Linked DNA regions of Tamandua tetradactyla. The protein of the gene in region 4 binds, or shares a complex with, the protein of the main gene of each other region. Links are inferred from orthologs where the notes say so. Each region holds a gene or a part of one and is shown on either strand. Other genes may lie near its edges.

What was found.
Region 1: POLE3 (region 4) and POLE share a complex: the UniProt entries of both Homo sapiens proteins name them as parts of the DNA polymerase epsilon complex. The link is inferred for Tamandua tetradactyla from reciprocal best matches to the Homo sapiens genes POLE3 and POLE.
Region 2: POLE3 (region 4) and CHRAC1 share a complex: the UniProt entries of both Homo sapiens proteins name them as parts of the CHRAC ISWI chromatin remodeling complex. The link is inferred for Tamandua tetradactyla from reciprocal best matches to the Homo sapiens genes POLE3 and CHRAC1.
Region 3: POLE3 (region 4) and POLE4 share a complex: the UniProt entries of both Homo sapiens proteins name them as parts of the DNA polymerase epsilon complex. The link is inferred for Tamandua tetradactyla from reciprocal best matches to the Homo sapiens genes POLE3 and POLE4.

What each region holds. Positions count from the first base shown.
Region 1 is NC_135331.1:1,212,083-1,219,749, forward strand, and holds the start of POLE (DNA polymerase epsilon catalytic subunit A), read right to left. Parts: upstream 3,229-7,667; 5' UTR 3,187-3,228; intron 1-3,186. Other genes in the region: PXMP2 (peroxisomal membrane protein 2), read left to right, coding at 3,662-3,783, 5,528-5,644, 7,138-7,300. UniProt on the Homo sapiens protein: Catalytic component of the DNA polymerase epsilon complex. Participates in chromosomal DNA replication.
Region 2 is NC_135332.1:87,005,196-87,013,424, forward strand, and holds the start of CHRAC1 (chromatin accessibility complex protein 1), read right to left. Parts: upstream 3,187-8,229; 5' UTR 3,058-3,186; coding exon 2,911-3,057; intron 1,315-2,910; coding exon 1,188-1,314; intron 536-1,187; coding exon 417-535; 3' UTR 1-416. UniProt on the Homo sapiens protein: Forms a complex with DNA polymerase epsilon subunit POLE3 and binds naked DNA, which is then incorporated into chromatin, aided by the nucleosome remodeling activity of ISWI/SNF2H and ACF1.
Region 3 is NC_135343.1:48,888,331-48,895,626, reverse strand, and holds the start of POLE4 (DNA polymerase epsilon subunit 4), read right to left. Parts: upstream 3,269-7,296; 5' UTR 3,264-3,268; coding exon 3,045-3,263; intron 2,602-3,044; coding exon 2,517-2,601; intron 1,822-2,516; coding exon 1,780-1,821; intron 1-1,779. UniProt on the Homo sapiens protein: Accessory component of the DNA polymerase epsilon complex. Participates in DNA repair and in chromosomal DNA replication.
Region 4 is NC_135328.1:33,728,647-33,736,974, reverse strand, and holds POLE3 (DNA polymerase epsilon subunit 3), read right to left. Parts: upstream 3,256-8,328; 5' UTR 3,124-3,255; coding exon 3,058-3,123; intron 2,973-3,057; coding exon 2,887-2,972; intron 2,552-2,886; coding exon 2,433-2,551; intron 2,161-2,432; coding exon 1,988-2,160; 3' UTR 557-1,987; downstream 1-556. UniProt on the Homo sapiens protein: Accessory component of the DNA polymerase epsilon complex. Participates in DNA repair and in chromosomal DNA replication.

The DNA.
Region 1 (7,667 bases), on a different chromosome or scaffold from region 4:
CTATAGGAATTATGTGTATGAAACAAAACATTAATGTCTAAACCATTATAGTGCTTTATGTAGTGTTTCTTAGTAAAAAGCTAATAAAGGTAAGAATTTCTTGAAAAAAAAAATAAGAGTGAAGGAGTATATATGCACAACTATATATACTGTTGGACTTCTCCTTTTCTACTGAAGATTATAATCTATTCCCTCTCTTTTGGTCCCTCCCTGCCTCCCCTTGCCTAGGAAAAATCACAAATGAACCAGTACAGTCTCCAGGTTTTACTGACATCATTCTCCTATTTACAACTGCATGCTAACTGGAGTTACAGAAACATTGGTTGCAGCAGAACTAAACATGAAAAATGCAGTATGTCCTTCTGGGATGCTAGGGTCTAGATATCAAACTGAACATGGATTAAAAAATAGAGATACAGAATTGTTCTGAGAGAAGAACTATTTCTCAAGGAAATTTACCTTTCTCAGTTCTATAATATCAATATACCCGTCTCAAACTTCTCAAGCTTCTCTCTGGTTAGGCTCTTCTAATAGCTCTTCTTACAGTTTTTAGCACAAACTTTAAATAAAGTACCTGGATGAAGACTTTTGATCCCAGAACTATTCAAATCTGCTCTGATTTCAGACCTTAGAATCTCACCAAACTGCTCATACTCTAACTCTACAGTGTGATCCCATCTAATGGACAAGATTACAGATTCTAAAGCGTATACATTTTGGGCAGAAGCCCTATTTATTTCCTACTTACATTCTCCACTCCTCAAAAACGTATGGCTAAGAATCCATACCCCAGGCTTTTCTGTCTGAATACAAATACATGAGCTACTCTATAAAGCAGTCGGCAGAGGGAACATGTACGGGTCTTGAATTAGTGCCGGCCGGGGGGTGAGAGGTGGTGCGTGCACTCTACTTGCTCGTGGCCTCGGCCTCACAGGCACAAGTAGATACACCCGCTCCCACTTGTGCCAGCCTGCTTTCCTGACGGTTTCCCTAAGAGCTCTTCCAAAGGGCAGTACATTGTTCCAAAGAACAGTTCTTCCCCAACTCTCCATGGATATTTATTCCTTCCCTTCTGCCACCCCACATCTCCCAGGATCAGACTCTAGCCTCTTGCTGTGTGTTTCAACGCTCCTAGGATACCACAATTCTTTTGATGAAGCTATGTGACCAGTCCATCTGAGCACTATTAGATTTCTCTGCAAGGTGAGAGTGTTTCTAAGATATTGATGCCACTTAACCCAGCAATGCTACTTCCAAAGCCAGGGAAACTGATGTACAGAAAAGCTTTGTTTTTAATATACAGATGTTCATCATAGCTTTATTTATAACGGGGAGAGACGAAGCAATCTAAACAAGCTAAATATCCAAAACAGGGGCCAGGAAAGGAAAATTTATGGACATATATAAAAACCAAATCTGATCAGAATTCAGGCCCTTAGTTACCATAACATATCTCACCTGTTATTGATTTATAAACAGAAACAGACACAGAACTGCTTAAGAAAACCTGGGTCCCCTCCACTGAAGAGCAGAATGACCATATTCCAAGATTAGGGCCCTTACATCACGAGAGTACAACCGCCTGTGGGAAATAAAACGGTGCCCCCTCCCAATCCCTGGCACCTGTGAATACGTGCCCCTGCACGGCTAGGGCGCTTTGGAGATGGGATCAAGTTAAGGATCCTGAGATGGGGCAATAACCCGGATTATCTGGGTGGGTCCTAAATGTGACCACAGTGGTCCGCAGAAGGGCCAGAGCCAGAGGACAAGACTGGAAGGTGCTACGCCGCTGGCTCTGAGGATGGAGTCTGCCACAAGGCGACAACGCAGTGGCCTGTGGAAGCTGGAGGAGGTGAGGGGCGGCCCCAGAGGGCATGCGCCCACTGCACCCTGGCAGCAGGACCTGTGACCTCACAGCCTTACAAGGAGAGGCAGTATTACGTCGGCAGCTAACCCTGTGGTAATCTGTCACAGCAGCAATGGGGAACAAAACCTTCAGCATACTATATGACTGTTCAATCTCTAAAATATCGAGATTCACCTGTAAACCCAGAAAAAGTGTATTCCAAACGTTGCTGAGCACTCAGGCTCATTCTGAGGCCTAGGTCATGATTGAAATAAGCCTCCCACACTACATTCCTCCGAATCACCCATGTCTTCTCCTCACATCAAGTGAGTCGAATTAAGTGGATTCAAAAACTGCTAACTCTGACTCCTACAAAAGCTAAGAAATCAGGATAATAGTAACAAAATAATGTCTCCCGTTTACTGACTACTCTTCCCGTGACAGCGTGGTCTGTGCTGCGTTCTTCTCCCCTGACCAGCCTGAGCCCAGGGTACTGCCCACTGCCCACTGCCCACGGGGCTCTCGTAGCTCCTCGGCTGTGTCAGGGTTAAGTGAGCGTCTAGACCCCAGCTGCAGCACCCAAGAGCAGTTTCATTCCTAGGAGAGCCTTGCATCTGCTGAAAGGACAGCAGCCGCGAGCCGGGTGGCCGCGCTAAGGGCACAGGTTTCTCCACAGCCTGCAGGTATGAACCTCACATCTCCAAACCCCAGGTTCAAGTACAAAACGCTGACAATCACGGCATCTGTCTCCTGGGGCTTCACGAGGACTCGACCAACGAGAATAAAGCACGGAGCCCAGCTGCTGGCCCATCTGTCCGCGCAGGGCTGGGCTTCGGGGCGCCCTCCGGCCCCCGGCCTTGTCCCGCCATTCTCGTCCACCTCCGCCCTCCCACCCGACTTCATTCTCGTTTTACAGGTTCTGGGGAAGATCCCGACACAGCTGTGGAAAAAGGGGGTCCCAAGGACAAGTATCTAAAGAAGAAAACAACGGGACAAGGCGAGACGATGCCGAGAAGATCCCGGGGCGGCAAGGAGTGCGGGCTGCCGGGACCGGGGCGCGGAGACGAGGCGCGGGAACCGGGTGCGGCCCCGACGCTCCAGCAGCGACCGCAGGGCAGAAACCCGGGCTCGTCGGGGGCAGCCCCGGGGTCGCCCCGGAAGCGTGGAGGCCTCCCGCCCCGCGCCGCCCGGGCCCCGCACTCTGTCCACTTCCCCGGCGGGGCGGCTGCCTCGGGCGAGGACGGGTCCAAGACCAGGGCCGAGCCCCGTCTCTCCGCGCAGCCCCGGCCCCGCCGCCCCGCCGCTCCTCGCGCCGCGCCCCGGTAGGGGTCGACCCTCACCGGCTGGCCTCGCCGTCCGCGCCCGGCTCCACGCGCCGACGCCCGCCGTGCGGCAGAACCATCGCGCCGCTCCGCCCGCGCCTCAGACTTTCCCGGGGAAAAGTTGGCGCGCTCCCGTCAGCTCTCGCGAGAGCCCGGCAACGCCGGAACCATCCAGTCAAGGAGCCGCGGCGCGCCCTGCCCCCTGGCGCTCCCATTGCCCCCCGCGCCCGGGGGCGGGGTCGCGCGGGTCTCGGAGTGGCGTGTGCGCAGGCGCGCGCCCGCCTCGGGCCCCTTCCAGGCCCTTTTACCGCCCGGTCCCCGGCCCTGGCCCCTCCCCGCCGCCCCCGGCATTGACCACCCCCGGCCCTGACCCCAGGACCATGACCCCCGCTCCTCCCCTCGGACCCTGACCTCCCCCCCTCCGTCCTCCGTCTGTCACCCGGATCCCGGACCCTGACCCCACGGGTCTGTGGCAGGGAACTCGGGGAAGGCGATGGCGCCGGTAGCCTCAAGGCTGCGGGGCGAGGCCGGGTTCGGGACGCTCCCGCGGCGGGCACTGGCCGGGTACCTTCGTCTCCTGCGGCTCTACCCCGTGCTTACCAAGGCGACCACGAGGTGCGCGGGCCGAGTGCCGGGGGCGGGTGTCTCGGGGGGGCCAGACCTGGGGAAGGGCTGGGGGACCCGGGGCAGGGGGCCTTGGAGCTAAGGTCCCGGGAGAGGCTGGGGGTCGCAGGGCAGGCGCCTGGGGGGCCAGGCCTGGGAAGGGGCTTGGGGGTGCAGGGCAGGGGGCCTGGGAGCTGAAGTCCAGGGAGGGACTGGGGGGCATAGGGCAGGGGCCTGGGAGCTGAGGTCCCGGAAGGGGCTGGGGGGCACAGGGCAGGGGGCCTTGGAGCTGAGGTCCAGGGAGGGACTGGGGGGCATAGGGCAGGGGCCTGGGAGCTGAGGTCCGGGAAGGGGCTGGGGGGCGCAAGGCAGTGGGCCTGGGAGCTGAGGTCTAGAGAGGGGCTGGGGGGCATAGGGCAGGGGCCTGGGAGCTGAGGTCCGGAGAGGGGCTGGGGGTATGGGGCCTGGGAGCTGTGGCCTGGGGAGGGGTTGGGGGTGCAGGGCAGGGGGCCTGGGAGCTGAGGCCCGGGTTGGGGCTGGGGGGTATAGGGCAGGGGCCTGGGAGCTGAGGTCCTGGGGAGGGGCTGGGGGGTATGGGGCCTGGGAGCTGAGGTCCTGGGGAGGGGTTGGGGGTGCAGGGCAGGGGGCCTGGGAGCTGAGGCCCGGGGAGGGGCTGGGGGGTATAGGGCAGGGGCCTGGGAGCTGAGGTCCTGGGGAGGGGCTGGGGGGCATAGGGCAGGGGCCTGGGAGCTGTGGCCTGGGGAGGGGTTGGGGGTGCAGGGCAGGGGGCCTGGGAGCTGAGGCCCGGGGAGGGGCTGGGGGGTATAGGGCAGGGGCCTGGCTGGGGGGTATAGGGCAGGGGCCTGGGAGCTGAGGTCCTGGGGAGGGGCTGGGGGGCTAGGGCAGGGGCCTGGGAGCTGAGGCCCGGGGAGGGGCTGGGGGTGCAGGGCAGGGGCCTGGGGGGGCCAGGCCCAGGGAGGGGCTGGGGGGCACAGGGCAGGGGGCCTGGGGGGCGCCGGGCAGGGGGCCTGGGAGCTGAGGTCCAGGGAGGGGCTGGGGGGCATAGGGCAGGGGACTGAGGGGTGAGGCCTGGGGAGGGGATGGGGCACGGGGAAGGGGCCTGGGGGGCAAGGCCCAGGTCAGAGGTAAGGGTCACCGCTGCATCCTGGCACAGTGCTGCCCACAGAGCGCCCCGTTACTGCATGGAGGAGGCGGGCCCAGCAGCTCCGGCCTGTGCCACAGGCAGGGTGAAAGTGCTCCATCATCTCAAGGACTCTCCTGCTGTCCTTGGGGAGCCACATTCGCCTTCCTCCCCTCCCGCCACCACAGGATACTCTTGCTGAGCTGTAGTGTACTGTCATATAGTGTAGTCACAACCAGGAAACACACATGGGTACAGGCACCAGCCTTACTCAGATTTCTCCAGTTTTCCCCGTAGGCATGTGTGTGCGTGAACATTGCATGCATGTATGTGTGTGTGTGCATGTGCGTTTGCTAAGTCCTGTGCTCCATTTAGGGAACTTTGACGGCAGCCTGTTTATTATTTTTTACATGGGCAGGCACCGGGAATCGAACCCGGGTCCTCTGGCCTAGCAGGCAAGCATTCCTGCCTGCTGAGCCCCCGTGGCCCACCTGACAGCCTGTTTAAAGACTTGTCTCGGTCCACCCGTGCAGGGTCCCCGAGCACCTGTGAATATGCCCGCAGAGAAGGGGCGCTCAGACTGACTGCCCTGGTTTCTGATTGCTCTGTCTGCAGCGGCATTTTGTCAGCACTTGGGAACTTCCTGGCTCAGCTAATTGAGAAGAACCAGAAAAAAGAAAAACGTTCCCAAAATGTAGATGTCATTGGGCCTCTCAGATATGCCATTTATGGGTGAGTGTCAATAAAGCTGGTTTATACCAAAGCAGACTAAGAATCAACAAAGCAGTTTTTTTGAATCATCTAATTTGAAAAAGCAATCTTTTTTTAAAAAGCATTGAAGTAATCATGATGGGAAAAATCAGAATGGTGTTGGAGTTATCTTCACTTACTTTGTAATTTAGTATGCTTTTTTATTTTGAATTGTATGGGTGGCTAGGGGTGGGGGGCATTTTAAAATGGACTGAGAGACGGACAACATAGCTCTCCAGAACCTAAAATCAGACTCCAAGACTGAGAGACCCTGAAAACATCCTAGGCTCGTGGGAGAGTGAAACCAACTCAGATAGGGCCGATATTTTCATGGTGTAAACACCAGAAAAGAATTGGGTATCCCTCTGAAATTCTGCAGTTTGTGAGCCACTTTCTGAATTGCAAAAGCAGAGATTCGGGAGTCTTACCCAGCCACACCCACCGTGAGCTTCTGTCTGAGAAGAGTGTGCTCAGTGGTTGTTACGAAGTCTTCTGCATCTGGAGGGATTCTTTAAAATTCAAAGTTCATAGTACCATTGTGTGCCTGTCAGCACACTAATGTCAGTCCTCGTGTCTCTCCCCTCATGTATTTAATGCAGAAACTCTCCAGGGAGGGCAAATGTATCAGAAGCACCCCAAAGGAATTATCCAATTACATAGTCTTCTCATCCCCAACATTTTATTTCTCTTCCCTGCTGAGAATCACTGCTATTGGGCATTTAATGTCTTATAGTGGGGAAAAAACAACTGTGAATCACTTGTTTAAAGATCATTTCAGTGTCAGAAGTTGAAAGAGTCCTGGATCCCTGCTCCCCTTTTTATTGCTGAATGTTTTGGAGTTGCAGGCCCCTCACCCCACAAGGCCAGGCACTGGACTCATTCCCTTCCCAGTGCCCTTCGTCCTGTGGAATGAAAGGTAGCAGTGGTGCCTGTGCAGCTCCAGGTGTTGCCCTTGCTAGTTACCTGAAGAGTCTAAGAGCTCCGCTTAGGGCTTTAGTGTGAGCGCCTTCTGTGAGCCAGGGCCCGTCTAGGCGCCATGGCTACGGCGGCCAGGAGCAGTGTGCTAGACAAGACGCGGTCCTGCCTATGCGGAGTTTTCCTTCTACAGAGGAGACGCCTCTGTTCCTGACAGATGTGACGGTCAAAGGTGGCCACAGCCCAGGACCCGGGAAGCCTGGGACCCTCAGGGAAGGGCTCCCTTAGAGGGGAGAGGAGCTGATAAGGGTGGGGAGCAGCCAGGCCTTGCCAGTTGGAGGGTACGGAACCAGCAAAGGAGAGGGCAAGGGAGAAGGCTGCCAAGCAGGGACAAGTGTGGCCTCCTCAGGACAGGGAAGAACGCCTGGAGCAGTATTGGAAAGCATCGTCCAGAAGGCCCATGCAGGCCCAGTGGTCAGTGCTGAGGTGCCCAGGGGGGCAGGGGCAGGACCTAGGGTTTGGGGGCGCGGGTCACCAGTTCACCCCACTGGGGGCTCCAGGTTCTTCTGCACAGGGCCGCTGAGCCACTTCTTCTACCTCTTTCTGGAGCGCTGGATCCCTCCTGAGACCCCCTGGGCAGGTGTCCGGCGGCTGCTCCTGGAGCGCATCCTCTTTGCCCCGGCCTACTTGCTGCTGTTCTTCCTGAGCATGAGCCTCCTGGAGGTGGGTGTCGCCCCGCACTGCCCAGCCCCTCCGCTGGGTGTCCTGCCTGTCGCCCCAGGGGCTCCTGTCCAGGAGCTGCATGCAGAGAGCAGGGCACAGCAGGGGGCACAGGGCCACCAGTTCCCGCAGGCACGGACATCCCCAGGCCACACTGCACCCCAGGTCCCAGCCGCTCCCCACGCCGCGGTGGCCAAGGCACTGGGCCTAGCCTGGACCTTGTGTTATGTGTGAACAGAGAATCACAGAGCCATTTTCTCACTATTTCAATAACTGGTTCAGTCTAATCCGTTTCCTCCATGGGTCCGGTATACCTTATTTCATATACTACACATACCACTCTGAGAAGGGCTCTCTGGCTTGGCGAGGG
Region 2 (8,229 bases), on a different chromosome or scaffold from region 4:
TGCAAAAATTCAAATTTAATGTACTGCCCCAAAACTATACATTTAGCTAAAACTGAGTCTTAGTTGTTTATCAGAACTAATTTCAAAATATACATATAAGAATTTATACAACTGATACTTAGAAAGTCTTCAAAATCCATCTGTCAATTAAAAAGCAAAGCTGCCTTTGCTGGTGATGACTGGGACCCTCTGTCAGAGACGCTGCTGTTGGGCTCCTCTGCCTTTGGCTGCTTACAGAGTGGGTGCATTAGATGCCCTCCCTTAACAGGGAAAGAATAGGAAAGAACACAGTCTACCTGAAGTTTCTGAAAAGTGGAGAGACGAAAGTCCCACAGGCTTTTTGGCTTCCTGGAGAGCAGTGCTGCTAATCCAGAAGGGTCCTCACCAGGCTGATTTTTAAAGCATTTATTTTTTGTTTAGGATTCGGCTTCATCGTCACTTTCGTTATCATTGTCCTCCTCCTCCTCGTCTTCTTCCCTCTTCTCTTTAAGCATTTTCAGGTATTTACTAGCTAAAATCTTCTTTGGCAATATATCTTAAAAACATAAAGCTTACGTCAGCAATTGGTTATGGTATTCATATGGATATGAATACATCGATGCAAATTTCAAAATGTCCTAGTTCCTGCACTGACCTCTAGAATAGGTCTCAAAACAGGACAATTGAGGCTATGTTTGTAGGTGAAACATCAGAGAAACTAGCACTGCCTCCTGACTGGTGCCAATGACCTGTTTCTAGCACATACCCTGGTGTTTCTCTATGCTGATGACCCTGCCCAACCTACCTGAGATGGGCTGGGTGGACCCAAAGGCAGACTTAAGCTCTTTTTAGCTACAGTCCTGTTACCCAGCAGCAAATATTATTTTCCCTGTTCTGGAACTCAGAACACCATACTGAGTATCCCTTTCCATAGCAGGGTGGATCCTGAGGGGGTGGGGTCTGCTAGGCTCACCCACCCGGCGAGCCACACATTCTTGTGCAGACTGTTGACTCCATTATTGGTCTAGAACCACATAACAAACATATTCAAACAGAAGACTGAAAACGTCTTCTTGTGCCAGGTCATGGTAAACTTTGGCACCTGGAGAAAGCACCAAAACGTCTATTTCAGTGAAAGCAGAACAGGAAAAAAAAAAGCTGTAAATTACTAAGCATTTTTTAACCAGAATGTTTCAAAGGCTAAATACCTTCAAGAAACTGAAAAGTTTCCGATCCCTCTGCGGTAGTTGATAAATCACTGTAAGTCAGTGCTTTCTTTTCTTTTCCACTGCCATGTTTGTAGGAATAGGTGGCAAGATACTGAACAAAGAGTTCCTTAAACAAAACAAAAAAGTAAAATGAAAGTAAGCTTTGAAAACTTATTATAGATAAAATTTAACTTTTTAATTACATTAAGTTTAGATGACTGAAAATTACTTTGGTTTCTCAAATTCAATTATAGGAAATCACTGGGGAAAAGAGAAACATGAGGTCAGAAAGAACGCAAGACCCTATCAAAGTTAATGGGGAAGCAGGCACTTCCTGAAAATTTAGTTTACATTTCTAACTTACAAAAAATATTTAGAAGTGATTAAGTGATGAATCATAAACGTTTAATGACCAATCTCTACACCTAAAGGAAGGAGCATGAGACATTCAAAAAGTGTTTGGGTCAAGGACACATTTTTAGTCATCTATCTAAATGCACTGTTTCTACCGGCTTACTAGATCTATAATAAAGTCAGCAACTTGAAGCTCAAAACTGGCACATCCTCATTTTGCCTAAACCATTTTCCTTATGCCAGGAACACATACATAATCCACAGACTGACCTAAAGCAACAATCTGAACTGAACCTCTCTCCCTCAGTTTTTATTTCGTATATTTTAATTCATCTAGTTCGTTTAATAAGGGATTAAAGAAATGCCTGCCTAAATCTTGGCTCCTTAATACTAACAGATGAAATTGTACAAGAAAACATCGAAATCCCAATATTACATGTGGAATGTGCAAATATTTTCCTGGGCTCTGAGTAATTACGGCTCTGGCAAAAAACAGGTACGAAACTTGTGGTTTCCCTCCCCCGCCTCTCAGCTCTAGTCCAGCATACTGTAGGGACACCGTGTCCCGAGCCAGAGGGACTGGAAATAGGAAGTAAGGCAAGTTAAGGCAATTAATACTACAGCTGAGGCACGGCCCAGCCTCCGAACAGGAAGTGTTCGGAGACCACAAGCAGCTCATCTATTTTTCACGGAATAGAGCACTAGGATAAATTGTAAAATTAAGCTGTGGGATGTTCTGCCTAGGAGATGTGGGGTGATCTGGGGAGCAGGTAGGCTCCCAGAACTCGCTGCTCGCTCCGTCTCTGATTCCGGGCGGCAAGAAAGTTTCAATTATTTACTTTTTAGTTTCTCTCCCAGAGGACTTGCGTTCTGGGGGCCGGCTCAATGGAATATGCCAGAGGACCGCCCAAGCGCGCCGCCACGGTACGAGAAAGGGTTCGCGGGCATTTCACGGATGTTTAGGGGGAGGTGGGGCTCCAGAACCGTGGAACAGAGCGGACACCGGCAAGTAACAGCTCTGCGGCTCGGAATACCCGGACACGAGAAGGCCCAGGGCCCAAGAAACCCGGGAGCGCGGTGGGCGGGGCGCTGGCGGGAGGGCACGGGAGGGCGCGCGACGGAGGGTGGCAGCCCCGCGGGCTGAGCTGGGCGCAGCTGGGAAGGGCGTGGGCGGAGCGTGCGGGCACCGGGGCGCGCGCCGGCGGGTGCAGAGGCAACTTGGAGAGGCGCGCGAGCCCGCGCAAAGAAGCTGGCGGCGCGCGGGCCGAAGAGAACCGGACAGCACAGCGGGACCCAGCGGGGCGGGGCGCGGCGGTTAGGGGGCGGTCTCCACCCCCGCCTCTCACTCCTTCCCCGCACGCAGCCTCACCGTAGCCTTGGCTGTGAGCACCAACGCCTCCTGGTTAATGCTGGACACCTCGGGAGAACTCTTCATGATGACCCGGATGCGGGACAGGGGCAGCGACACCAGCCGTTGCTCTCCGCATTTCTCTTTACCAACGACCACATCCGCCATCTTCCCGCCCCCTCCCCGCAGGCGGTAACCGCGGCTGACCCAACCGCGAGGCACGCCGCCTCCGCCGCGAGCGACGTGGCTGGCAAACAAAGTTGGGGCCGCGGAGCCGGCGTCCCGCTGCCCCGTGGGAGTTGTAGTGTCGGGGAGGTGCGGAACGGGAGCGGACTACAGGCTCCGTGATGCTCCGCGCCCGCCGCGCCTCTGCGCCTGCGCGGACTGTGCCTGCGGAGCGTCCGCGGACGCGCCTGGACCTTCCCCTTTGGGGCTCTCCCGCGTTCCTCACGGCTGGTGGTCGAGCGCGGGGATGGCGTGCCCGCAGCCAGAGAGCGCCCGCCAGCGCCTGGAGTACGCGGGGGCGAGTCTGGAGCCTGCTCACGGGACAGGCCCTGAACGGAGGGGTGAGAGGCACTTTTACAGGAGCCAGGGCGGAATCCTGGGCTTTACTCTAGAAGGAGCTGTGGGGGCGGGGTGTTCACCCCTCTCAGGAACCCGAGGGGAGGCAGGGTGCTGCCGACCCCGATTTGAACGCCAAGTAAGAGTTGTGCCAGTAGGTGAGGATAGGTTTCAAACCCCGGTTCTTAGCAGCGCATTTCCTAAAGCTTACATTGTAGAGTAAAAGACAGAAAATAAACGAATATATAATATACTGTCAGGTAGTGAGAATTACCATGAAAGAAAACGAAGCCGTGCCAGCAGACACACTAACGGGGAATACTGTCTTATCCAGGGTGGTGGGGAAGGCTTACCGGCTGGGGAAGAGAGAAGGCAAGCCCTAGCAATGTCTGAGAAAGCGCTTTCCTGGGAGAAGGAACAACAAATGCGAAGCCCCTGAGGTGGGAGTTAACCTTTTAATGATGCGAAGAGAGACCACCGCAGGTGTGCTAAATGTGATCCCAGAAGTAGTCAGGGTCTAGACTCTGTCCTTTTTTTTTTTTTTTTTCTTACATGGGCAGGCACCGGGAATTGAACCTGGGTCTCTGGCATGGCAGGTGAGAGCCCCACCACTGAGCCAAGGTTGCTTGCTCCCTGTTGGATTTCATTCTAAGAAAAATGGGAAACTGGTGCAGAGTTTTATTACATGAATGATGGTTATGGCTTAAGTTACAGAAGGATTCCTCTGTTCATACTGAGCTGTTTTTTATAACCTGGTCATTCCCAGAAACGTTATGTGACACCTGAGTATTTATGTATTTATGTGACACCTGAGTCTCAAAATTAGAGCTCTGAAACTATGAAAACCAGCAGTATCCTATTCAGGAATTGTTTTAAAAAGTTGGAAAACGGGTCTGACTTCCAGCAGAGCTATGAATGAAGCAGATCTGGATAGGACTGAGGTAGATCAGGATATAGGGTAAAGAATAATATCGTCCATATTTTAAAACTTCAACTTCTGTTTGAGACCAAAGGGAGAGATGTTTATTTTGCGCAAAATTTATATTTGGGTAGTGCATTTCCTAATTTCACTTGTATGGTCAGCTTAATTGAGCACAGTGAGTACATGGACTCTTGACTAGAGTGTGATTATGGGTTTGTCGGGGTTAGTATGATGCCCCCAGTATATCCCAGAGTAACTTGGGCAGTGAATAAAGAAGTATTTGCAAGACCACCCCCTCTTGGGGCACTGGGGAAAAAGGAGGAAATACTCAACTTGCCATTTGAAGTGTTTCTGATATTCTCGCAAGCGGTGGAGACAACCAAATCAATAGTCTTGAGCCCTCAATCTTGGGGTTCAACCCTATGAAACTTATCACTGCCAAAGGATAGGTTAAGCCTACCTAAAATTAGGCCTAACAAAGTTCCTTGATGGATAGGAGAAAAAATATGGAAATATTTAAATTTACCATCAGGGAATCCCCTGATACTGTGTCAAACTTTAGGGACACCCAAATCGACAAGACAACCCCTTGATCTTGCGGCTTACTCTTGTAAAGCTTGTGTAGGTAGCAGAGAAGCTTAGCCTACCTATAGGTATGTCTAAAAGTAACTTCTGAAAGACCTCTTTTGTTGCTCAGATGTGGCCTCACTCTAAGCCCAACCCTGCAAATGAAGTCATTGCCCTCCCCACTACATGGGATATGACATCTAGGGGTGAAAGTCTCCCTGGCAGCGTGAGAGATGACTCCCAGGGATTAATCTGGCCCTGGCACCATGGGATCAACAATTCCATCTTGACGAAAAAGGGGAAAAGAAGTGTAACTAATAAAGTGTCAGTGGCTGGGAGAGTTCAAATAGAGTCAAGAGGCTGCCCTGGAGGTTGATCTTACACAAGCTTCAGTTAGACCTTGCTATGTATTGTAACCTGCCAACCCCCAACCAGGACCATTCCAGCCAATCCTAAAGAACACCTAGGGCAATATATAAGATCCACAAGGGATCCATGCACTAGAGTAACTTCCCAGAAACCTACAACCTCCAGATGGGTCCCTGGTCCAAATAAGTCCTGAAACTTAGCCCAGCCTCTCCGGAATATCAGATAGTTCCATCTCCCTATCCCATATTAGTGACAGACCTTTCCAATATAAAAAATTTAGAATTGCCATAGCCCAAACACCCGTAAAGAGAGATATGGAAAGATCAAAGGTTGATTGTGGAGTTATACAGTGAAGATAGGATTTAACAAATGAACATGAATGCTGAATCATTAAATTGATATCTTTCAGTCTCCAGTATTTTAGAGCAGCTAGAAGTAAAAACCTAAAATTGTGAACTTGTAACCCATGTCAAACTTTGAAATATGTTCTACAACTAATTGTGGCGCTGTACTTTGAAATTTATAGCTTTTTTGGATATATATTATTTTCACAAAAAAAAAAGAAGGAAAAAAAGTCGATTGTGATGATAAAAATATATTTAAGCCCTCTAATCTCCTATGTTCTGGAGCAGCTAGAAGGAAAAATATGAGAGGATCGTATGGTAGCCCATGACAAACTCTGGGATCTGTCCTGTAACTACTTCTTGAAGAGTGCTTTGAAAACTATTGCTTTTTTATTTTTTTGCTTGCTTCATATATTTGTTATACTATGCAATTAAAAAAGTTTAAAAAAGGAAAAAGGGGCAGAGAGAAATGAGATAAAAAGTGTCAGTGGCTGAGAGATTTCAAACAGTCAAGAGGTTATCCTAAAGGTTATTCTTATGCATTATATAGATATCCCTTTATATGGATATGTATTGGAGTGGCTGGAGGGAAGCATCTGAAACTGTAGGGCTGTGTTCCAGTAGCCTTGTTTCTTGAAGATGATTGTATAATCATATAGCTTTTACAATGTGACTGGGTGATTGTGAAAACCTTGTGTTTGCTTGTCCTTTTATTTAGGCTATGGAAAGATGAGTAAAAAATATAGATAAAAAATCAACAAATAATAGGAGGGACAAAGGTTAAAATGAATTGGTAGATGGAAATACTAGTGGTCAATGAGAGGGAGGGGTAAGGCATATGGTATGTATGAGTTTTTTTTTCATTTCTTTTTCTGGAGTGATGCAAATGTTCTAAGAAAAGATCACGGTGGTGAATACACAACTATGTGATATTGTGGGCCATTGATTGTGCACCATATAAGGAATGTTTGTATGTTTGTATCTTAAGATTTATCAATAAATATGTTTATATATATATATATATATATATATATGAAAAAAGGATTTCTCGCTCTTTCTCCGCCGGCGGCGCTCCCACCGCCAGCCAGCCCTCCTCTCCCTCTTTCTCCGCCGGCGGCGCTCCCGCCGCCATCCAGCCTTCCTCTTCCCCCTTCTCCGCCGGCGGCGCTCCCGCCACCATCTTACCCTTCTCTATCCCCTTCTGCTCCGGCGGCGCTCCATCCGCCATCTTATCCTTCCCTTTCTCCTCCTACTGCGGCGGCTGGCGCCCTCCCGCCACGCTTGGCGCCTCGGGCCGACTAGGAAATTCGGACGGGCGTTCTCCCAGGCTGCGGCGGCCGGCGACTCTCCCCGCGTTCGGACCCCCAAACCGGCTGGCACTCTTCCAATCCACTTCGGCTGGCAAACCACCCAATGGTGAGAGTTTTCCAAAGTTAAAGGACCCACAGCACCTTTTACTGGTGGAGCCCGCAGACAAACGTGTGCCACGAGCGCCACCTACTGGGCAGGATAAGAAAAACAGAACCCAGAGATTTCACAGAACAATCTTTCAACCTGTTGGGTCCAACACCCAGGGAAATCTGACTAAATGCCCAGACGTCAGCAGAAGATAATGGATCACGCTCAGAAAATTGAAAATATGGCCCAGTCAAAGGAACAAACCAATAGTTCAAATGAGATACAGGAGCTGAAACAACTAATGCTGAATATACGAACAGAAATGGAAAACCTCTTCAAAAATGAAATCGATAAATTGAGGGAGGACATGAAGAAGACATGGGCTGAACAAAAAGAAGAAATAGAAAAACTGAAAAAACAAATCACAGAGCTTATGGAAGTGAAGGATAAAGTAGAAAAGATGGAGAAAACAATGGATACCTACAATGATAGATTTAAAGAGACAGAAGATAGAATTAGTGATTTGGAGGATGGAACATCTGAATTCCAAAAACAAACAGAAACTATCCGGAAAAGAATGGAAAAATTTGAGCAGGGGATCAGGGAACTCAAGGACAATATGAACCGCACAAATATACATGCTGTGGGTGTCCCAGAAGGAGAAGAGAAGGGAAAAGGAGGAGAAAAACTAATGGAAGAAATTTTCACTGAAAATTTCCCAACTCTTATGAAAGACCTAAAATGACAGATCCAAGAAGTGCAGCGCACCCCAAAGAGATTAGACCCAAATAGGCGTTCTCCAAGACACTTACTGGTTAGAATGTCAGAGGTCAAAGAGAAAGAGAGGATCTTGAAAGCAGCAAGAGAAAAACAATCCATCACATACAAGGGAAACCCAATAAGACTATGTGTAGTTTTCTCAGCAGAAACCATGGAAGTTAGAAGACAGTGGGATGATATATTTAAAATACTAAAAGAGAAAAACTGCCAACCAAGACTCCTATATCCAGCAAAATTGTCCTTCAAAAATGAGGGAGAAATTAAAGCATTCTCAGACAAAAAGTCACTGAGAGAATTTGTGACCAAGAGACCAGCTCTGCAAGAAATACTAAAGGGAGCACTAGAGTCAGATACGAAAAGACAGAAGAGAGAGGTATGGAAAAGAGTGTAGAAAGAAGG
Region 3 (7,296 bases), on a different chromosome or scaffold from region 4:
TGGATGGTGTAGGTTAGCCAAGTCTCCATCTATCCTAGCAAGAAGTCAATAAATAATGGCTACAGTTGAAAAATCAAGGGGTAAGCATACTATTTAGAAATTTAAATAACCACCTGAAAAGCTAAAAGTAGGAACACCAAGAGTGGGGGGAAGCTAGCAGCTTCATTTCATAATCCATTAATTTTTTTAAACATAGATATATATTACCTTGACCAAAAAAGAGAAAAAGAATTATCTACTTAGAACAAACACATCTAAGGACATAAGAACATTATTTTACCAGACATACAGATTGAGTCCACAGTCGCTAAAACAGTCAAAATCGAGAAAAAGGATTCAATTACTGAGGTTAGTGGAGGGGAGGATGAAGATACACATCAAATACTCCATAAACGGCCATTTATTAAAAATTCAGGCTAGGCACTATTTCACGTTGGAGGCTGGAGTCTATAAGAGGATACCAATTATACACGGAACAACTAAACAATACAAGGTAAATGCTAGATGGCACATTAAGAACTGCCCCATACTATGGAAGAGAAGAATAAACTCCTTAGTAGCTGACACTGGCCATGGAATGCAAAGAGGAGGCAGATTTGGATATCAAGAGCCACAGAGAAGTGTGGGGTAGAAAATCACCTAAGATCCCTCTACTTCTATTCCTGGCATCCTCCAATTTATTGTCCACCAGGAAGCAGCAGTACCTCTTTAAAACTCAACTTTGATCATATCACCTATTGCTTTAAGAGGCTGATACTTAAATATGAACAGGTAAAACAGGCTCCAAAATCTTTGATTGGAGAACTTCACAGGAAGCTGACTGCCTTAGGTAGGCAACTAAAAGGACAAAAATTAAGAAATTTTTTAAAGTTAAATTAAGAAAAAATGAGTGAGCAGAAAAAGAAGTTAAAGACTAATATACAAATTTGCAGTTAAATTCATCTAGTCTTGAAGATAGCCATGGGAATTAGCAAGAACGCAAGTATCCAGAAGACATTTAAAAGATACATGAAAAGGGCCTGGGGTCTAGGTAAATATGGAGATGGAGAAGAAAGGAGTTTTTTAAAAAAACAAGTGAAATAAATAAATCAAGAAAAGGTTTCTGGAAGGTAGTAAATTTTAAAGGAGATAATGAGAACACCACGGCAGGGAGAATGAACTGAGGGCACATGGCTTTCCAAAAGCTATTCAATCAGAATTTTGTTTAGTGAAAAATAAACTAATCAGATTTAAGAATTAAGTAACAGAAATAGTTCTGAGAAAAGGTAGCTAAACTGAGATGCTTCAAATGTTTACTTTTTCAATGACAAGATTTAGTTAGTATACATGAGTTAACCCAAAATTCCTACGAACAAAGTGAAATACAGACTCTCATTGCATACAAAAAAAAAATGTTTTTTACACAGATTGTTGAAGAAGAAAAAGGAACAAAAAAGTTGCCCTTTAAATGTTGGCAGTTGTTTATCTCTAACATGAGGATGAGGAGAAAGATTTCTATCTAGGGATAGAAACCAAAGTAGGAATCAAGTTTCTGAATCCATCATTCATGGGGTTTTTTTTATTCCCTCCTATTTCCTTATGGCTAGCAATTTTCAGGTAGAAGTTCTAACTCCCCAAAGGAGGAAAACTAAGCAAGTTAGTTTCTCCTATACTAATAGGAAGTAGGAAGAAAGAATTATCCCAACACAAACAGGACAAATCAGGCATTCAATTTGTAAGGTTGTGAACTCAGATCATTAGAACAGAAGAAACTGATTACCCACTGATAGAAGAACTCACCTTCTAGAAAAGCAAATTCATCTACGGCTTCTATTGCATTATCTGAAAAACAAGGAAAAGAGACACCTGATTAATTGAGGTCTTTTGAACCTCAGCCCAAAACGGTACAATCCACACAATGAAGGGCATGAGCTTTACGCAAAAGAGAACATTCATAAAATGTGCCCCTTGCTGTCTTGAGCCTGCATTGAGATCCATTTCTGCTCCACCATCAATTCCTACACATCAACTGTCTCCCCACAAGAGTAAGAAAAGTCAGGGCATATGCTGTTCACTGGGGGAAGGTGAAAGAGGTCCTTAGTACACTCCTGGTTTAAACCTAAATCGATTTATCCCCTTTGCTCTGAAAGTCATCAAAGAAATTTGAGCAAATGATCTATGAAAGTTTGTAAAAGGGCAGTACAATACCAGCTAGAGAGAAGAGCCAGAAATCAAACCTACAGTTTCTACGGAAAAAGACATGTCAAGCCTGATACCACGGGGCAGAGTGTGAAGGGGCCTAGCCTGCTTTGGAGACCCCTACCTCCTTTCATATTCTGCCCCTCCAGCTACCCAATGCCCACAAACTCTCAAGTAGAGCCTTCAGGCACTACGGCACGCCCACAGGAAACAGCACTGTGAGAGACCCTGTGGCACCCTCACCGCACAGCGGCACAGCGAGGCCCCCTCAAGCAGTGAATGGGGAAACCTGGGCCAACCTCCTTTGTTCGCTCCCAGGTACCACAGGGACACACTACCCAGATCTCGCCTCTGGAGCGTTTTCCTTTTTCCTTGTTGAGCACAACAGTAGGCATCTTTTGCGATGGTCTCCACAAACAGTTCCTGTTAAACAAACAAGAGTTTATCAGTGGATTCCAGCACAATTGCGGTGAACAGATAGGTTCCTGCGGGGGACGGAGAAGAAGCGGTTCTGGGAATAGATGGGGAGGTTCTCATGGGAATTAAAGGTCCTTCTGGACGTCATAAAGGTCTATTCCTCTCCTCCCCCTTCCCTTAGCAGCACAGAATGACGCGGCCCTCCTCCCTTACTTGTAAATTCACCCCACCCGTGACTCCTACAAGTTCTGTTAGGCACTGAAAAAGCAAATTAAAGACTATGCCCACAAGTATGAACAAAGCAACACAACTACTGTAGGTATCTGCCCCTTCCCTTCGGTCTCCCAGCACCTACTTGGCAGCGCCCCCCACTGCTGAGCCTCGCCCAGCCGCCCCGCCCCGCCCCTCACTGCCCTCCCGCTCCACACAGTCCCCGGGGCGCACCGCACCGCGGCTCGCGCCAGAATGAAGATGGCCTCCTGTCCCGCGAGTGTCACGTCGGGGTCTGCCTTCACCAAGGCCTTCACTCGCGCCAGAGGTAGCCTCGAGAGACGGGCCCCAGGCGCGCTCGTCGGGGCTGGCGGTTGTGAAGCCGCCGCCTCCCCACCAGGCCCCTCCTCCTCCCGGGGCGACCCGCTCCCAGCCGCCGCCACCGCCGCCGCCGCCATCCCGGCCCCCAGCGTGCTGCGCGCGGCCACCGACTATGCGCGCGCACGCGGCGCCGGCCCCTTTCCCGCGCGGGGCGGAGGCCACGCCCCCGAGGGCACGTGGCCCCTCCCCTCTCGCGGCGGGGCCCGGGGAAAGCCCGGCGGGTAGGCGGGGGCCGGTAGGGAGTGTGCAGCCTGTGGGTGAACTCTGTCCCGTACCTTGCCGCCGCTGGGCCCCCGGTAACTCCGTGGCCGTTCTCCAGGGACCCTCCGGTGCGGCCGAGCCTAGTTAGGTACCGTCCTTTAATAAAATCGATGATCGGACCGGGCTGTCCAGACCCGACCCTTGAGAGGGTTTCAGCTGAGGCAATCACCCTCGGCGGGCAGAGCAAATGCCGGAGGGAGGCCGGGGTGCCCGGGCGCGCGCAGCATCCGGGGCCGGGGGTGCCGAAGAGGGCGCGAGATCCGGAGCCGGCTCGGGGAGAGCCAAGTTTTAGGTGCTCTTACGGGAGGGGTGGGGCTCTGGCTCTGGCTCTGGCTTGCAGAAACGGAAGAAGTTGTTTCCCTGCCGAGGAGAAAGTCGCCGAGGCTGGAGAGCGCAGAGGTGTGAGGGCGGGCGGCCGCCGTGTTGATGATGGGTTGCGCCAGAGCATTGGTTCATCACCGTTTTGGTTTCGGGGTTCTCTTTACACACTTAAAAATTATTGCGGACCTCAAAGAGCTTTTGTTTCAATAGGTTGTGTCTATGGGCGTTAGAGAATAAAACGATTTTAAAATGTTAACTCATTTAAAATAATAATCCCATTTCAAGTTAACATAAGTAACATGCTATGACAAGTAACTTCGAAAATAAAGAATTTAATGAGAAAAGTGGCATCCGGTTTAGGTTTTTGTCTGTCTCAATAGACAACTGGATTTTCATAGCTGCTTTTTTATCAATATGTTCCCGTTTTCACTTTTCGGGTAGCTCTGGAAAAATACTGTCATCTTGAGAGAACGAGAATAAAAAAGAAATTTCTTCCTAGCGTTATTCAAAAAATAGTTCTGACTTCATAGACCCATGACAAATCACACTAGCATAGAATAGTTCATATCTACAATATCAGGTTTAATCTGTCAGTTTTAACAGTAGTAGCTCACATTTTTTTGAGCACTTACTATGTGCATGGTTAAAAGTGCTAAGTCATTTCCTTACATAATTTTCATAATGCCCTATTGAGACAGGTGATATTTTAACTTCATTTTACTGTTGATGAAATTGAGGCAGAGTAGTTGATCTTTCACCCACAGCTGGAATGTGGTTAAAACCCAAATGAAGTTGGATTAAATGATACTGGAAATCACTCTCCTTTCCAAAATTTATGTGGTAAACCCTGCAAGTGGCTGAATTAGCACAGAGAGGCTCCGCTACAGTACAGCAAACAGCATGGCCCAGAATTAAAACCTGCAGAAGGGGAGTCTTGAGTCACTGAAAATTTCACTAGAGCCTACTTTAAGGCTTCTCTTGAGTCCGTCATCAGGTTAGTTTGTGGGCACTACAATGCATGGAAAGCTCCATACCAGATCCATAAAGGCATGGTGGGATTCTTGTATCTTCAGTAGAGCACTTAACAGGAGCAACAGTTCAGCAATCTCAAAGGACAAATTACTAACTGTAGCCAAAATTTTGAGTTGGCAAAATAGAGTTGACTATCATGGGGGCAGGATGAGTTAGGACTTAAGGTAGGGAGTGAGTTAAGTTGGCTTTTAAAGGTTTCTCCCTTCCATCACTCTTTCTTCACATTTTTCTCTGTTACTCACATTTTCCCTTTTCTTCCCCCCATGCCACCTTTTGCCTCACCACTTGAACATTTTCACACTTGGCCCAGTCCCACCTTCCTTTCCCAGGTTTTATAATAACAAAAAGAGGTTCATTTAGACCACTCAGGATTTCCTGACCAAGCCCTGAAAGGCATTAAGGTATCTTCAAAAGGGAAATCATATTTTCTGTCTTTGAATTTCAGTGGCAAAAAAGGCAGGAGAAACAGGAAAACAAAGGTCAAAAAAGCCAAGAAAGAAAATAAAATGTTTGCATATCAGTTCTAATGAATGAAAGTTTAAAAATGTCTTTAAAAGGCTACAAGAGGAAAATTAATACAAAAACAAAATGTTATGTGAAGCATTTTATGTAATAAATTAGTGGTTAAAGACAGCTTACCATCTACCCTGCTGGGGTAAGAGTTCTTCCAGGAAATATGTATGTGGAGGACACTGGTAACACTTCATCTCTGAATTATTTTTAAAAAATAATTGTATATATGTGCATGTTGTATGTACATATGTGTATATTATTGTATATGCATTTGTGTGTACACACACGTTTGAGGGTCAAATGGTTAAAAATCACAAGGAAACAGAGGGTATGGTAGATAAAAAAAAATCCATAGGACTGTATAAAAAGGGAAAGGGAAAGGAGCTTGGCCACAGAAACCTTGGAATGCAGGAATGCTCAGACACTCACAGAGAGAAAAATAAAAGGAAAAACAAAAGATAAAAAGGAAACGATTACTCTTACTCAATTCATCGTTAAAAGAAATTGTTTAGGCAGTTCTCCCAATTCCCCCCCCCCCCCCAATTTTGACTGAAATAATACAAACTCAATGTGGGTGTCAAGGCTTTGCATGGTCAGTCTCCTTCTAGCCATCCCCCCCAAAACTCACCACCCCCCACCCCAGCCCCATCGTACATCTTCCCCTCTCTACACTCTATCCACATAGCTTTTATCTTCAGTTCTTCAGCAATTCTGCCTGGAAAACTTTTCTCACCTTTCCTCAAATCCCAGCCTTACCTCCTTATGGAAGCCTTCTTCAACCCACTCTCCCTCAGACAGGTTAAATCCCTCCTACCACTGAGCACCTTTCCTAGTACTGATCATTGAATGCAAGCCTGCATTTGCCAGTGTGATTATTTAATGTTTGTCTCCTCCCCTTCCCTGCCACCCCAGACTGTAAACGCCTTTCAGGCAGTGTCTCTGCTTTTGTTCCCTGAGTCTCCAGTCTGTGGTACAATGTCTGGCACTTAGTAATAGAAGATTACTGAATGAATGACTCATCAGCAGTGACTCACCTGGAAGTGACCCCTGCCTACAGAGTTGTATCAGACACTGGCAAAGTATCCTTTGAAAATTCCAATCAAGTGTTTCTAGTAACTCTCATAAGGGGAATACCATCCTTTCAACCTTCAGAATCACTGCCTTGGGCAATTAATTTAGAGTTTGTATGTTTGTTTTGTTTCATTTAATGGCAGGGAATGTTGAAAGTATGAAAGAAATGTGACTGACTTTTATAAATTATTAAAGCCTGAAAATGAGATAGATTCTGGTAATGATCCCTTTGGATCATTTCCTCTCATTTATTTAGCTTTCTCTCAATGGAAACTGATCAATTGAACTTGCCACGCATTGAACTTGCTCTACCCTCTAATCTTTGGGACTTGTAGACTTTGGAACAGTTTATGAACTACCAGGATTAGCAATCTTGTAGGGCCAAAGCTCCCCTAAATAATCTCCCGTAGATTGCATTTTAGCTTCGTAGATTACAGAGCTGGATTTTCTTCATCTCAGGAAGTAGTGGAATGATTATGAGCTATGTATGGTCTTTAGGAACTACTTTAAAAAGAGGAGATCCTAAGAATTCAGGTGTTTAAATATATGAATGAAAGTTACCAAAGCACTTCGGTTATGGATTAAACTGCTATATGAAATGATTTAGCCAATAAAATGGCTACATATCATCAGTTATCCCATTACGGCTTACAATCAGCTGTACTTTTTAAATTAAGCCTAATTCAGGAGAATATTTAGGATATTATGATGATGTTTCATCAGATTTAATTTTCAAATTCTTCTATAGAACAACTGTGCAAGCTCTTCCACTCCATCCTGAGTATGCCATCTAGACTAGGATGGACCAGGAAACTTCAGGGTCTCAGAGCCAAGCCAAGCTCTCAGAACCAGCGCTGGAAGGCCCCAAGGGACTGAATTCATGAGACATGGCTTCAGCACAGAACCAGTTTT
Region 4 (8,328 bases):
ACTTAATAAATTCCCCCTTTTAAAAGCCATTCTATTTCTGGTATATTGCATCGCAGCAGCTTGCAAAATAGAACAGTACATTAGAGAGCACTGTGGTTAAGAGCAAAGACTCTGGAGTCACGCTGAGGGTTTAATCCTGGCTTTGCCTTTCATATCATGTAACTTTGGGCGAGTTCCTTTATTTCTCTAAGCATATCCATAATCGGTAAAATGGAGATGACAGCAGTGCAACCTCCTAGAGTTTAAGGGTTAATACCTGAAAGCACTTATAACAATCCCAGGCACACAGTAGGAGCTCAATAAATGTCTGGAGTTGTTCACAATCTAGTATGGTATAGGGTGTCCAGCAGAGGAGCCAGTGAAAGCTCTTGCCTTGACTAAAGAGCAGCTCCCTTGCCTACGAAAGAGCAGCATCTGCTGGTCATTGAAGGTGATGCAGGATCCCATGTTTACAAAGGTCTGACCCAGCCCACATGCCAGAACTGTATGTGGCATGTTCAGTGGGTTGCCAAAAGCACACTTTGAAAAACAAGCAGGATGAAACAGAAGTCATTACTTTTAATAAGAACCTTATTTTATTTATACAATGCATTATAATTTTTTCAAGACTCTTCACTCATTTATCAAGAAACCTTTTACTATATTCATTTAACAATGCCAACCTACACTTCACTACCCATCAAACTCTAAGCATTCAAGTCAGAGACAAACAAAAAAGTGCTTGGGGCACTGAAGGGAAAGAGAAAAAAGCTAAGAAAGACCAACAGAGATACTTTAAAAGTAGTTAAAAGGAAAAAAAAAGTAGTTAAAAGGAGACGCTTTGAGGGGGGGGAATTAGATTCCTGAGCACCATCAGATTTTCTTTAAGGTTCAGAGAGGTTTTACAAAATCATTTTTAAAAGACATGAAATTAGAACTAAGGAATCAGAGGAACCTGCACTTCTGGATATTAAGCAGGTTATCAAAGTTCCAAAATTGGAGAAAATGCGAGAAAAGGAGGGAGAGAGAACATGGAAATGGTAAATGGAGGAGAGATAGAGAAAGAGAGACAGAGAAAGAAAAAAGAAACAGAGGAAGAAAGTTGTACCTAGAGGAGATGAAGTTTGGAACTTGTCATGAATTAAAGAATGAAAGGCATAGTCACAAGTCTGGGAATAGACTGTAAGAGAAAGGCTGGAATTTTACACCTTCCAGGTGGTGAAGAGAAATCCTCAAGTTGTATAGTGGCAGGCAGTGAGGTGTAACCTAAACTAAGCCATCTATTGTGCTAAGAATAAGACACTGGCACCCTAGCTTGGTTAATTATCCTCTATACTGCTAATTTGAAAGCATATATGTCCAGAGTACAGCCAACCCAGTAAGTCGAATGCCTATAGGCAATGCAAAAAGGCTCCAAGCCAAGTGAGTCTGTAGAAACTAAGAATCAACTAATGCTACTGTCAAATGAAGAAACAACAGAACCAGTTTCATTTTTCTCCCATTTTTTTTAGTCTCCTAAAGTCACACCATTCTGATCCCTCTTAATAAGTTGGTATTGCCAAATACTGTATCTCAAACATAGGCTTATCATACTCAAAGCCCAAAGATTTCCTGAGCTTCAACTACCTCTGTGATTTGGAACACAGCAAGCAGCAAGGAAGTTATCATTACTTTGTTTCTGGAGGAGGAAATGAGGATCAAAAATGGCCTAACCATGTATATAACTAAACATGAGAGATCAAATTGGCTAATTCAATTAGCTGGTCAGAATTCCCCTTGTCAAAAAAGTCATAACCTTCAGACTGATTAAACAAAACAGGATTCTGATACTAAGATGCTCTGAGTCTAGGAAGCCCTGGTTTTAATGATAATTCTAGTCAGTTTTATTTCAATTTTCTTAGGCACTTCAGCCTAAGAGTACTCTGCCCAGCAGGGAGAAGCTTCACATAAACATGTACCACAGTTTCAGCATGGTACCTTCCAAGGTGCCTCCATCTCCCCACCCCTTTCAGTTGTCCACCTCCTCCTCTTCATTCTGCTCTTCTTCTTCCAGTCTTTCCTCATCTTCATCGTTGTCCTCATCCCTGCTCTTGTCTTGCTCTTCTGAATCTGTCTTTTTGTCTCTGTCCTTCTTCTTTTGCTCTGAAGCTTCCTTCTTGCCTTTCTGTTCCCGCCTATAGGCTGCAAGGAGGAAGGAGGCGGTTAAGAGGTAGGTTTGGAAGAGTAAACCAGACTTCGGCTGCTAACTCCATTCCACAGCTGGAAAAGCTGAGGCACTGAAGGAAAAATAACCCGCCCAACATCACAAAACAGATCTGAGATGGTGCCAACTGAACTGGTTCCAAGTCACATCCAGTATTCCCTTGCTGGACTTAAAAGGTACCCTTGCTGAGAAAGCCTCAGGGCCATGGATGATCATCTTCTAAGAGGCTGAAAAAAGGAAGGGTCATTACCTTCCAGAGCTTCTTTTAGGGGAGTAATGAACCGCTGGAACTCCATCTCTTCCATGGCCGAGAGCACGTCACTGGCGTTCAGTGTCTTGCGCTTCCCTTTCATAGCAAAATTGTTTGCACTAACGGAGGACAGGAAGAAAATGAGCTGTCAGACCCCCTCTTGCCACGCATGAAGTGGGTGGAAAACGAGCACCCTGAAGTGAGTGAGGAAACCTACGTTAAAGATGCATGACTTTTTGTTTCTCCCTTCCCTGTACCAAACGGCTAATGCGAAGTTATTTAAGAGATTGTGAGAACTGGGTAAGGGTCGTGAACCTCTGTCCAGGTTCACAGGTAGCACCCAAGCATTGGGGTTTATGGGCGCCGGGACGCTAAATCTGAGCCAGGGGGGTCTCTCTGCATCTCCCTAAATGCCTCAGCACTAGCTGTACTCTGGCTAGCTCTTTCTGCTCACCACGACGTGGCGTATAGTACGAAGACGCTGGCAGCGCGGGAGATGGCGCTCCGGGCCTCCTTGGAGATGTTGACACCTTCCGGGAGCTGTGAGAAGGGAGAAGTGAGCAAAGATGCTAGCCCAGACCTGTTTCCCTCCTTCCCGCTCGTCCGCCCCGGCCCGCCCGCTCACCGCCTCCTTGATGATTCTGGTGATGACAGCGTTGGGCAGGTTTAGGTCCTCAGGCCTCTCCGCCATGGCCGCCGCAGGGGCCCGCGCCTCCACCTCAGTTTTCCTCAGGGTGCTACTGCGTCCAGGCTTCCCGCGTCCCTGCTGTCTGACCCACCCAGGCTTCCGTTCCGCCCCACACGGTCCACATTGTATCCCATAGTGCTCTGCGCGTCATACCCACCCACTTACCCCAGCCACGCCTCCATGTCAGGTCGCCGTAGCTTCCGAAAGTTTCTCTCTGCAGTCATTTGGGCTCGCCGGACCTACCGGCAGGCCCCATAGTGCCCTGCGCCCTCCTCCCCTGTTCTGTTTCTCTGTTTCACACCATCACCGAGTCTGGAGGTTTCACACCAAATTGAGGATGGGTCATTGAGGCTTCCGTCCGTTCCCCATAGTTCTCCGCGCCGCTGCCTGGCGACGGCCCGACCGGGGGGCTGGCGCGGGAGGAAAAGTTGTGAACCCAGCCTCCTGGGCGGGGCCTACCCACGCCCGGCGCCGTACTGCGTTATTCCACCGAGTTTCGGGCTCTTAGCGGCTAGGCATCGGCTTTGGGCCAGCGGAGCCAGGCCTCCGAAGGCCGCTTCCTTTTCCCGAAACGAAGCGGAGGGTATTTTCCCAACTTTACCGTAGCTGACGTTTATCTTTAATTTTTTCACTTCGCGCAATTTTGTAATAATCATATTAATGATCATTGTTATCTAGGCTTTCCTGAGCGCCAACCACTTTGTCGGCACAGCGCTAGTGTTGATGGCAGAGAGATGGGTATGGTTAGACCTCGGGGGCTCAGTTCAGGGTGGGCAGGTAACCAAAGGGTGTGAAGCAACTGGGTGTGATGAAGATGCAACATGGCATTTAGCATTCGAAAATAAAACCTGTTAAAATTGTATTGGTTCTTTAGTACATTAAATTGTTCATCGTACATTTTCCCAGTCAAGAACATTACCATGGTTTTATAGTGGCGGTTTAAATTTTATCTTTAATTTTCTTAAACATGAAATTTAAGGTTTCCTGTTAAAAAACGTAGAAATAGATCTCACTCTCAGTGAGAACTAATGCTTGCTTATTATTATTTGGTGAAGCATGCTATCCTCTCAAGTCGGGTTTTTTGTTATTATGCTTTTGACAGAGACGAGGGTACAGAGGAGAGTTTTCCTATTATGAGAAAACCGGCAGAGCAAACACAATGATAAATGACAACTGAAATTGCTTCAGTTAGAGACTATAGGACCTGGCGAGGAACTGTCCACATGGTTATAGCACTCCTGGCTTAAAGAGGTTGGACTAATTAGCCCTAGCTAATTACCGTGGTATTGGAATTGGGCTTAGTGTGGTCAAATATTTTGATTTAATTTTAAGAGGAGCCAGAAATCTGTATATTATGGACTACTTCAGTATTTAAATATTGTCTCATTTAAAGAGCAAGCCAAACAAAACAACTCAGGCGAAATTACAGGCTAAGAGTTTGCTATCACTGGCCTAAATTATAAACTCTTTAAAACAGGGACTTTATCTTCTTCATTATTTTTCTCCCTGTCCAGAACAGGTCCCTCAAATATTCAATAGTCAAATGTGTTGAATAAAAGAAAGAAAAAATGAGCACTGCCCTTATAGTTGTTGGGGTTTTAAAGTGGTAGTGATTGTGTAGAATTTCTCTAGAGAGAGAAGATGATATTTGTTGAACTGTTATATGTCATACATAAAGGTACATGATCTCATTTAAAGCTTCTACTATCCTACTCAGGGATTATTTCCCTCTATTTTATATGAGGAAACAGACTTAAAGAACTGGAATCACTTGCCTAATACCATAAAGCCATTATAAAATACATGGCCTCTGATGCAGTTGCATCAAATCCACTAATTTGCTGTTTGAGCAGATCCATCCGTTGATGGTTGGTATTTGGGCTACCTGCATGGGAACTGGAGCATATTGAAGAATAAAGCATGTCACCCAAAGGAAATGTTGTTGTTCTTTGTGTTTTTGAGCCACCGAGGGCATTTCTATGACTATATTAGTTGTAAATTGAAAAGCCTTTTTTGTAGATGGTTGCGTCTTCTTCCTAATGACTAATGAAGGGAAAAAAGAATGGATGTTACTATTTATTTTGAGTCATATGCCAGACCTTTTAACATCTGCTAGCTAATTTTTATAATAACCCTATGAAATAGGCTTATTCTCATTTTACAGATGAGGAAACTGAAAGCTCAGATTTTTAAAGTCCCAAGTCACTCAACTGTTAAATGGGCAATGGGGAGATTTTCTGAAGTCAATCTGCTTCCAATTTCTTCAACTCTAATTCATACCAAGATGTTTTTATACTTGCTTTTTTCTCAATTCTTAATTATCCTCTGACCACCATTTACCTTTATAGGTTGACTAGAAATACTTTATTCTTTGAGTTCAAATTAAGGTGAAAACTGTCTGGTTAATGTATAATGCTCCCTAATTATGTGGTTGTTGTTTTCTCCAGAGAGTTAGAAAGCTGCAATGTTGCCTTTTATTCCATACCATTCATAGCTATGAATTTGCCAGATGAGAGCCAATGGGATGAAACCACCTGTAACGTGCCTGTTTGTCAGCATCCACAATGCTGGGAAGCTATCCGCAGGATCGAGAGGGGTCATCCTCGAATCCTGGGTTCCTGCAAACCTCTCCTGAACACTGAAGGTGAATCAGTCAGCCTGTCTCTTTCCTCACAAGGTCCTTCACCTGTTCCTGTTTGGCCTCTTTTATCCAGGTGACATATCATTTGTTTTCTTCTGGTCTGCTTTCTCAGAAAAACTCCCAGTTCTCACCATTGTAAATGTCTCAAATTCCTGCTTGCGGGCTAAGAAACGTGCTCACCGTCATCTGTCAGGACTTACCTTCGTTAAGACTCACACTTTATTGTCTCGGTGTTTGAAGTTTGACTACAAATTTCAAGGCAGGTGGATTTTCATGGAATCTTCCTTTAGAAACCTACTATGTCAAAATTCTAGTTTGTGACTTCCGTTACTGATACAGAAGAATTTGAGAAAACTAGATTAAAAAGAAAACCCTAGTTCAGTCACAGAAGTGGTGAATAGGGAGTTAGAAATAAAAATAAAGCATTTCTACTTGTGTTCTAGGAGTTGGTTAATTTGTAGCTATCCCATCAACTGCTATAGGTCACCAGAATACTGTGTCCGTACATACTCTCTTTTGTATCTTTTTTTTTAAGCATAAAACTTTTTGTAAGCTCCTCAAAGCAGAAGGAATGGCTTTTCTTGGAACCTCCTACCAAGTCTAGGTACCCAGTTAGTGCTTATTGAGTTGGGTGCTTCATATAGGCACACGATTGGAGCTTATTTGAAGCTAAGGGACAGGTGTCTATGGAAACTTTAGACTTTAAAAATCTGAAGACCCTGTTGCCAGCCAGGAATCACCAGTGGTGACTCTCATAGTGGTTTCTTTTATCCTGTTCTGTGTATTTTATTTTTATTTTTATTTTCTCTCCTGTTCTGTTTAAACAGCCCGAGATTTCTCTCTGGCTAGAGAAATAGGAAAGGGTAGGGCTACTTTCAGGTTCTCTAGGATTCAAGTCCCGGGAAAATAGCTGCATCTCCCAGCCAGAACCTGTAATGTGCTTTACATCCATACACAGGTACATACTTCCACCCGACTCCATGCTAATGGTGTGTAGAATAAAGCTGTGTCAGAGTTGCCTCATCCAGTCAGCTCCTAGATTATGTGCATTCTTCTTTTAGTATCTCTCACTTGCTAGTCTTATTCCTTCTATCCTAAACCAGGTCCTTGTAACCTCACGTGTGGGTTTTTATAGTCACTTCTGAACTGGCCGCCCTGGTTCTTCCCCTCGAAACCACCTTACATACTTCCAACAGATTAATCTTACCAAAATATTGCTGTCCTCATATCATCTTGTTGCTCAAAAACCCTGTTCATCAGCATTTCATTTATTATAGAAGAGATCCAAACCTTCCTATTCTGAAGTTGAAGACTCTTTACCATCTGACTCTCCTCTAATCACAGAGTCTGTCTTCTTTGGCACCTCAGAGCAAAACTGATATTCTGATTCTGCTTTTCTCACTCTGATGCTGTTTATGCCGTTCCTGGAAATTTAAAGACTCTTGCCCCTTTCTGCTTCACTAACACCCTGCTATGACCTATAAGACCCTATAAGGTCCTGTCTTTCTTGTGGCCCTCAGCTTGTATTCTTCTTCTACTTATTCATTAGACTCCAGTCACAGTGTTGTTTCTAGTCCTCAGACATTGCACACTTCCTACCCCAGGGCTTTTGTACACTCCACACTTCCCACCCCAGGGCTTGTGTACCTGCAGTTTCTTCTGAGAGGAACACTTTTTCCCTAGATTAGCATTTCTCAATGACTCACTATTGACATTTTGGGCTGAGTAATTCTTTGTTGTGTGGTGGTGTGCTGTACATTACAGGATGTTAGCAGCTTCCCTGCCCTCTACCCACTGGCTGCTTATAGTACTCCACCCCTGTTTGTGATAACCAGCAATATCCCCAGACATTGTCCTCTGGGGACAAAATTGCCCCTGGTTGAGAAACACTGCCCTAGATCCTTGCTTGGCTAACTCCTTCCTGTCATTCAGGCTTAAGCTTAAAAGTTGCTTTCTTACAGAGGCCTTCCTTGATCACCTATTTAAAGTTTCCCTTATCCTCACTATCATTAAACCTTGTTTTTTTTTTCTTTTTTAACTCTTCAGTTCTTATGAATTGAAATTTTTTTGTTGATTTGTTTGCATGTTCATTGTTTGTCTCCCCTCATTGGAATGAAAGGTCCGCAAGAGGAAAGACCATGTTCTACTTCTGTGTCTTTAATAGCACATAACATATAGTGGGAGCTCAATAAGTGTTTGCTGAATAAATGGATAAGTCCTCTGTCAAGACTGAATTTCATCATTTGCCATTAGTCCTGGGTATTCTCTCTTCCAAACTACTCCAGCATTTGTCCCTTGACATGCTTCGTTATGCTTTTATGCCTATGCCCTATTTGTCCAGCTGGATTTTAAGCCCTTTGAAGTCAGAAGCCATGACTTCATTCTTTAGTCACTCATTCAATTAATAAATGGGTCTTAGTTGAGGTCTCTGTGCTGGGCACTGGGGATACTGCATTAAACAATTTACAGTCTTTACCATGCAGGGACTTTCAGCCTGGTTAGGGATGCAGACAAGTAAATAGGCAAGGACCATTTTACATGATGAGTGTGCCCTGGTTGGGTGAAAG